Nothobranchius furzeri: one gene and its partner. The protein of the gene in region 2 purifies or fractionates together with the protein of the main gene of each other region. This does not show direct contact. Links are inferred from orthologs where the notes say so. Each region holds a gene or a part of one and is shown on either strand. Other genes may lie near its edges.

What was found. Proteins that work in one complex are often made in the same cells at the same time.
Region 1: the proteins of uqcc1 (region 2) and uqcc2 purify together in Homo sapiens (co-immunoprecipitation; 3 studies listed by BioGRID and IntAct, counting the BioPlex papers as one, with this or other methods). This does not show direct contact. The link is inferred for Nothobranchius furzeri from reciprocal best matches to the Homo sapiens genes UQCC1 and UQCC2.

Annotation. Positions count from the first base shown.
Region 1 is NC_091743.1:73,466,464-73,470,059, forward strand, and holds uqcc2 (ubiquinol-cytochrome-c reductase complex assembly factor 2), read left to right. Parts: upstream 1-1,461; 5' UTR 1,462-1,692; coding exon 1,693-1,830; intron 1,831-2,347; coding exon 2,348-2,422; intron 2,423-2,693; coding exon 2,694-2,760; intron 2,761-2,866; coding exon 2,867-2,979; 3' UTR 2,980-3,031; downstream 3,032-3,596.
Region 2 is NC_091743.1:78,149,357-78,153,372, forward strand, and holds the start of uqcc1 (ubiquinol-cytochrome c reductase complex assembly factor 1), read left to right. Parts: upstream 1-1,189; 5' UTR 1,190-1,331; coding exon 1,332-1,406; intron 1,407-1,886; coding exon 1,887-1,985; intron 1,986-4,002; coding exon 4,003-4,016. UniProt on the Homo sapiens protein: Required for the assembly of the ubiquinol-cytochrome c reductase complex (mitochondrial respiratory chain complex III or cytochrome b-c1 complex). Involved in cytochrome b translation and/or stability.

The DNA of each region.
Region 1 (3,596 bases), about 4.7 Mb from region 2:
CAAAAGCTGTATTTCTAACTGACATGTTTCTTGTCTTTTAGGCATCTTAAACCAACAAAGAAGAAACAAACAACTCCAGTAAATACAGAAATATTTCTTGTGCTACTTTGGAAACAAATCATCTTTACTTGTTTAGTTTTTATAAATGTCACCTCTGATTAAATGAAAATAATTACATTTAAATAGCATCTTTGTGATTGTGATCTTTTAGTCAGACTGACTGCTAGATGTTCAGCCATTAAGGACTTTAAACTTGTGATTTTATGCAGCCATGTCAGTTCAGGACCTTTATGTTGACGTAGCTCACAAATATCTGTCTGCTGGTAGAAAGTCCGTCTGTTCCTCAGAGTCTCGACCTTGCTGCGCATGTCTCGGCTGTGGAGGTGGGGTTGAAACCTGCTCTTCTTTATGACAGTAATGGCTTGTGCAGCATGGTCCAGCAGTATCTGAGCTCCTTGCAATCCCTCCAGCTTAATTATTAATTATCAGATTATAATCTGAGAGATTTCTTGCAACCCAAACGCCTGAAGCAAACAAGCCTACGTTGACCAGAAGATTCCTAAAAATGTAAACAAGACATTCAAAGATTGCACAGTAATTTAAAATAACCAACAACAATCAGTCCTTATTACACATTTAGGACAGCTAAAACTGCCTGAAGCTTGAGCAATTATTTTCTGGAACCGAAACTACAATTCAATGAGGTTTAAGAATGTTTTAAAACAGATGTTAGTTTTGTCTTAAATTATAACATAAAAAACTAAAAATATAACATGTTAGTTGATTTTAAAAATCCCTAATGACAAATAAACCCAGAGTAACAAATACGTATAGTTTACTTTTAGATTTTCATTTAAAACAGTAAACTCTTTGTACAAAGAATAAAAAAACATCATTAATAATTTAATTTAAAATCAAACTGTTATTTCTGAATGTTTTAGCTGAGGAGTTATATTAGTTTTTCTCAGTTGCTTTGGTGCATTTCTCACAACAGAATTGATCTCTGCACGCTCTTCTCAAAACAATTAGTGCAAACTGCAAAACATGGTGGATAACTTGCAAAGGTGAGTCATTTCATCAAAAAGAAAAGTCAGTTGTTCAAAAGCTCAGAATAAGTAGTCAATGCTTCAAAAGCAAGTCCCTTAATCAAAACAGGTAATATATTCATCAAAAGCAAGTACTTATATCAAAGTGTCAGGGCTGTCACAATTACAAGTCATTACACCGGCACCTTTGGTCACAAAATCAAATGGTTTGAACATGTTCTCATTGTGACGGATTTCTTTGTAGGTGCTTCCCAATGACATGTCAAGTCTGGACAGCCTGCATGGCATGTTGAAAAACATAAATTGTAAAGGAAAATCAAGACACTTCATATGCACTCTTGATAATATTTAATTGAAACTGTTCACGGCATTGTGCAACTGGGGAAATACAGTAAAACAAACATTTTACAGCAAACATAAACTAATTTAAGACCGTAAGCCTTACTGCAGTAGTTATGAAACAAAAACAGAAAATTGAACAGACACTGCTGCATATCAATCACTGACTGATTTTGAAGGAAAGGAACACACGCGAGATCCCAGCAGAAATTAAAGGGGGAACAGTTTAGATGTGACACAAGTTACGGTGTCCGAAAAGGCTCAAGCCGTGAACGTACTCGTTCGCGTAAATATTACATGACCAAAGATGTCTGCGACACGATATCGTCGGTTTTTAAAGCTATGCGAGGAATGGCCCCGAGACGAGACCAAAAAGGGCCGCGATTTGGGAACATTTCTGCGGCAGAGGGTCGCTTCTGCGTTCCGCGAGGGCGAAAACACGCAGGTAGGAGGTCACGCGGCGGCTGTTGAAGCTTTGGACAAACGCTTCCTGTCGACCTTGCAGCGTTTGTTGATGTGGAAAAGACGCAGCTGCAGAAATAACACCGCGCTAATATACTTTACTAAATTAATACAAAACTATATTATGATGTTGTATTATTTTAATAAATTGTATAATACGACAGTTAAAAATTAACAACTGAAAAGTGTTATTTTAGTTATTTTTCGCAAACATTTAACATTTACACGACTGAATTTTATACTCATGACTGAAAAATATTAAGGTTATTATTCTTTTATGACAGTTAAAATAGATAATGCATTGGCTAATATGAATATAAATTATGCTTTATATATGACTTACTGTGCTATTTTTATATATTCAGAGAATTTGTTTTAATCATTTGCAGTCAAATATGTTGCTTAAGTAATTTGTAAACCACTTCCTTCAGCTTTCATTTGCATCCAAACAAAATTAAAAGCTATTCTATTAACAGTTCCATCTTTTGTCACCTTTTCAGATTGCAGATCCAGAGAAATGTGACCAAATGTATGAAAGTTTGGCTCGTATAAATGGAAACGTGTACAGACAAAGAGTAAGTTGATTTTCACCATTGCTTTTTTATTTGTTGTGTGCTGCATTCAAGAACTGACAAAAATATACTTTTTTTTTGTGAAAATGACAGTAAAACATCTTACTTGATGTTAGTAAACCACGTTGGGTTAATTTGTAAAAAGTATGTGTTTGTAATTTGTAACCAAACATTCTCATGAAACTCAAATAATCTCCTTTTAATGCTGGAATTAAAAAGTGTAATGATAGACTTTATTATACTGAATCGTACAAATAATGTGTGTTTTGTCCAGTTTCCTCGTGTGAGAGACACAAGTTTTACCGGTGTTACAGCAGAGGAGTGCAGAGTCCTTCTGTCAGGTAGGAAACCTAAAGCATCTCATCTGTCGTATGTTTTTGACTCTTTTTCATCCGTCATGTAGAGCTGCCACAGATCCGCTGTTAGTTACACCACGTTTGTTTACAGGGAGTATTCAACAGAGCATGGATGAGGAAAAGAAGGGTTTGTGGAAATCTTTAATGAAGAAATTCTCCTCCAAATCACCGGAAGACGTTCCAGAAAAAGCTCCTGAAAAATAGCCCTTTTTTGCTTTTCATTTTGCTTGTATAGAAATAAAGCTCATTATTGTCATCTATGCATATAATGGTTTTTAATTAGGTTTGTTTCTTGAGACGCTCTAATATTCTAAGATGTTTTGTAAAAGTCAACTGAGAATCGAGAAAAGACAAAATCCGATCATTTTTTTTACTGCAAAAGTCTTCTGATTTTCTCTTTAGTTTCACTTCATGTTCGCTCTTCCTTCTTCTATCTCAGGAACATTGCTAAGCTGAGTCCCATTCTGTCCTGCTCTGAACTTGAGACTGTTCTCCACACCTTCATCTCCTCACGCTTAGACTACTGTAACTCTCTTTTCACGTGTCTGAGCAGAACCTCCCTGAACCGTCTGCAGGTGGTTCAGAATGCCTGTGCTCGGCTTCTGACCAAGTCCTCCAAATACACCCACATCACCCCGCTTCTCCTCCAGCTTCACTGGCTGCCAGTCAACTTCAGGGTTCATTTCAAGATCCTGGTTCTGGTCTTTAGCGCCTTACATGGACAAGCACCATCTTACATTGGTGATCTTCTCAGTCCCTACACCCCCAGCAGGTCCCTGAGGTCCAGTGATCAAAGCCTACTGGTTGTGCAGCGCCAGGCT
Region 2 (4,016 bases):
CGGCTGTTTTTCTAACAGCTCACAAAGGATGAAATATCAGCTGCAGCCGGCCTGAGTGGCTCCAGAGCTGCTTGATATAAAGAAGTGATTCTACATCAGTTTAGTTTTAGAGGCCGACTGCCAAGTTTACATCTGCAACCATCCGGGCTGCTCCAGCGCTAATGAAGGAAAAGGTGATGCTAAAGGGATCACAGACGAAGGTTGTTTCTGACTTCACCATTGGTTCATACATTTCATATTTATCTATTGCTTAATTTCCTTTTAAAAAATGTTTTCTTAGACAGTTTTAAATTTCTGATGCTGTCGACGTGTTTTTGGTTTTCAACAGTTTTAATTAGAGGAACAAAAGTTAGCTTCTGTCTGATTAATTTGTTATTTTTGTTTTCAGGATTCAATTATTCTTAAAAATGGTTAGATGATAAAATCAAACTGTTGTGTGTTCCGGCTTCAGTGTGTATTTGGTAGAAACAGACTTTATCAACACTGGAGGACTTATAGAGCACCCCAGACCGGCTCCAGGAGTCCGGTTCAGTTTCAGGAACAAGCCTACAAGCTGAGCTGCAGCCGAGCTCACAGCTGGAGCAGCTGGAGCTTAGATCATTAGTTTGTTCAGCAGGCAGGTTCCTAGGCCTGCGTCAGGAGGTGTAGCAGCAGTGAGCCGGTGTGTGTGTGTGTGTGTGTGTGGGGGGGGGGGGGGGGGGGGGGGGTGCACATCAAAAACCTCGACATCTCATTTGTGTGTTTTCTTTAGCCACACTCCAAAAATTAGGCTGCCTCAGCAGGAGAGCTACTTACAAATACACACACACACACACACACACACACACACACACACACACACACACACACACACACACACACACACGCACACACGCACACACAACTCTATATATTTGTTAACTTGCTTTATTGTTGCTCAACAACCAAACTAAAATAACAATTTGTAAAAATAAAAATAAACAGATTTTTATCCTGACAGTGAATCTGTTTGCTAAACATATGAAAAATAAATGAATGAAAAAGCAGTGAATAAGTCTGACTCTTCTGGGTTCACCTGAAGTTTGTATTTATTTTCTTTTTTTGTTAATTGTAATAACAAAATACCAAATGCCAATATACATCCTCCCTTGTTGTTTTAATGTTTTCATTGACGTTTATAAAACAGGCGGAACCTTGTTTTCGTTCTGCTTTGTTGTGCCCGGACAGTACTCGCTCTGGGACCGTATCCGTTGACATTGCTGGGACAGGTGTTACCGAACCTGAAGGTTTTACCACCGGTAGCCGCGGTGAAGAGTTCCTCCGTGGTTCTGACAGCGGGACCCGGAGCAGCCATGTACCGGTGGCCGCTGCAGGTCGTCGCCCGGAGGCTCATTAAAGCGACGGGAAGCGGCACCGCAGTCGCTAAGGTAGCTGCTAACAGTTAGCATGGCTGGCTAGCATGTTTCTGTAAAAATTACAGCTCAGAGTCCCAAATTGACCGGTTTACAGGGTTAGTCACCCTAGAGGCTGTCAGCTGATTGGTTTAAAACTCATCTTTGGCTAATTGTTAATTTTACCTGCTGTAAAGTTATTGTTAATAACCACGATGCTCGTGGTTTTAATTATTAAATATATTTATTATAATTTACTTTAGTATAATGAATGCCTGGCTGTCTTTTTTGTGATCAAGTAAAAGCAAAAAATCAAAGGCATTCTTAAAATACGATCAAACGTAAACTAATTAGTTTTAATTTCTGATCAGAAATCCACTGTTTCATTTTTTATTCATATTAATTCTCTTTTATTAAGCATCAGCTGAAAATGTAGGTTTAGTAGAAACTCCACATTCATAACAGCTGACTTTGGCTGTTATCCTGTTTAACAGCATCATTCCACTCTGATTCCAGGTGGTGAATCAGGAAATTTGTCCCAGCGCTTTTGCAGCCTGTCAGCTGACTGGATTCAGCTGTTCCGCACAATATCGGACTCTGCACTTCAGCACACGGGTAACAACATGCAGCCAGACCATGCGCACATCATAAATATTCCCTGGATCTATCAGAATTCCTGGGAGGTAGTGTGTGAAATTCAGGATGTGTGCATTCTTGGGTTGGGAATGGAAAACCTTTGTTTCAGTTCCTAGTAGTGATGCACTGATATGAAATTTTTGGGCCGATATCCGATGTTAAGATCACTGTTATGGCCGATACCGATATACCGGCATTAGCACTTCTAAAATCAGCAATTTTGTATGAAATGAAAATTATTAAAGCTGAATATACATTATTACATTTACACTTCTGAGGTGATTACATTCACTGTCACATGACTAAATAATTACACATCACCCCCCTCACCCTCTGAAACAGGCAAACAAATGGAAACAAGATGGAAAAAGTATTGGTGGTTATTAATATCGGCCTGGTTTTATTTATTGGACCGATACCGATATTGAGGCCGTAATATTGTCCATCCCTTATTACTAGGAATCATTCGCCACTTTTGCCTTATCAATACCACTACTCAGCTGTTTTAGACTGTTCCTGGAAAAAGGCTTAAGTGGCTCCAACGTTTGGTTTTACTTTACAAGAGAGGATGACGGCAGGGTAACTAAATAGCAAAGTAGATAGTTCATCAAGGGAGGAAGCGTTACGAATAAACCAAAGCCTTTGGACACAAAATACACGATAACTTAGAGTTAATGACGTGTGTAGACCCGCTCTGGACTAGAGAACATCACCGCAGCAGCAGCGGTCACACATCCTCTCCTGGTAATACTGCAGGTAACTAATCAGCTAACACCGCCTAGCATGCTAGCGTCATTAGCCTTATATACACACCTCCACACTAGCAGACTCCAGGGATACAGGTCTGGCCTATGGTGAGATTATTCCCTCTCTACTAAAGCTACAGCAACACCGCACCAGAAGATGACTCTGCCTTCAGGGAGCAGAAAGGAGAACATTTGGAAAGATCTTTCCACCGATGCAGGTACAGCTGGTTATTCAGGGGGTCTTTTGTTCCCTCTTCGGGGGGAAACTCCCACTGGGTTTAAATCTGGGACTCTCCACCATTTGACCTTAGAACTGAAGAAGCCTCTCGGATGAGAGGTGAAACGTCTTCAAGCAACTCAAAGAAGTCCAGACGCTTTTCTTTCAAAGCTCATTAAAACCTGGTGCAGCCCTGTGTTAGTGGAGTCATGTTTCTATACAATGTGATTATAAACACGTTGAAGTAGTGCTGCGCTTACTCTAGTGTTATATTTTCTGCAGCAATGAAACGTCTGATCTCCGTTTGTTTCCTTTGAGGTTGTAGGAATCTACGTTATTGATTGTATTTCTGAAAATACCGAGCACTAGCCTCCTTCACAGGTTTATTTCTGTAAGGATGTGTTTGTCCTTGTTCTTTTTATCCATCCTTGTGAATTTTCTTCTGCTTCAACTCCAGCTGCAGCTCCCCCAGCAACGCGAGTCATACACCTAAAGTGGCGCTAAGGGGGTGTGGTTGACATGCAGGTCACGTGTCTGACAAATACTGATTAACTTGCTTTTATTTTTTCATTCTTCCAACAACACATGGTCCAGAAGTAGATGGGCGGGACTTGGGCTGTCCAAATAGGGTGGCTGATTACTCTGAAAGGGGGAACACGCTATTGCTAGCATGGATCAGTGCTTAGTGATGGTTCAAAGACGAGGAAACGGTCAGACTTTTGATCTGGATGGGCCGATATTTAGGTACAGCTTGTTTAAAATGGCCTATTATGTTTGATATAGCGCCTCCTAGACCCCCCCCCCCCCCCCCCCCCCCCCCCGTGGACTCAGCAGCAGAGCCGGGATTGAACCTACAACCCTCTGATTACAAGTCGCTCTGCCTCCTGAGCTGCTGCTGCCCCATTTAAATATCAACAACCTGAAGGAATCGTGTCACATGACCTAGTTCCGACCCACACGGATTATTTGTGGGGAAAAGAAATTAGACTTTTTTTGGTCTCATATAAAAGGAAACTCTTCATCTGTGTTTTAGTTCTGCAGTGTGAA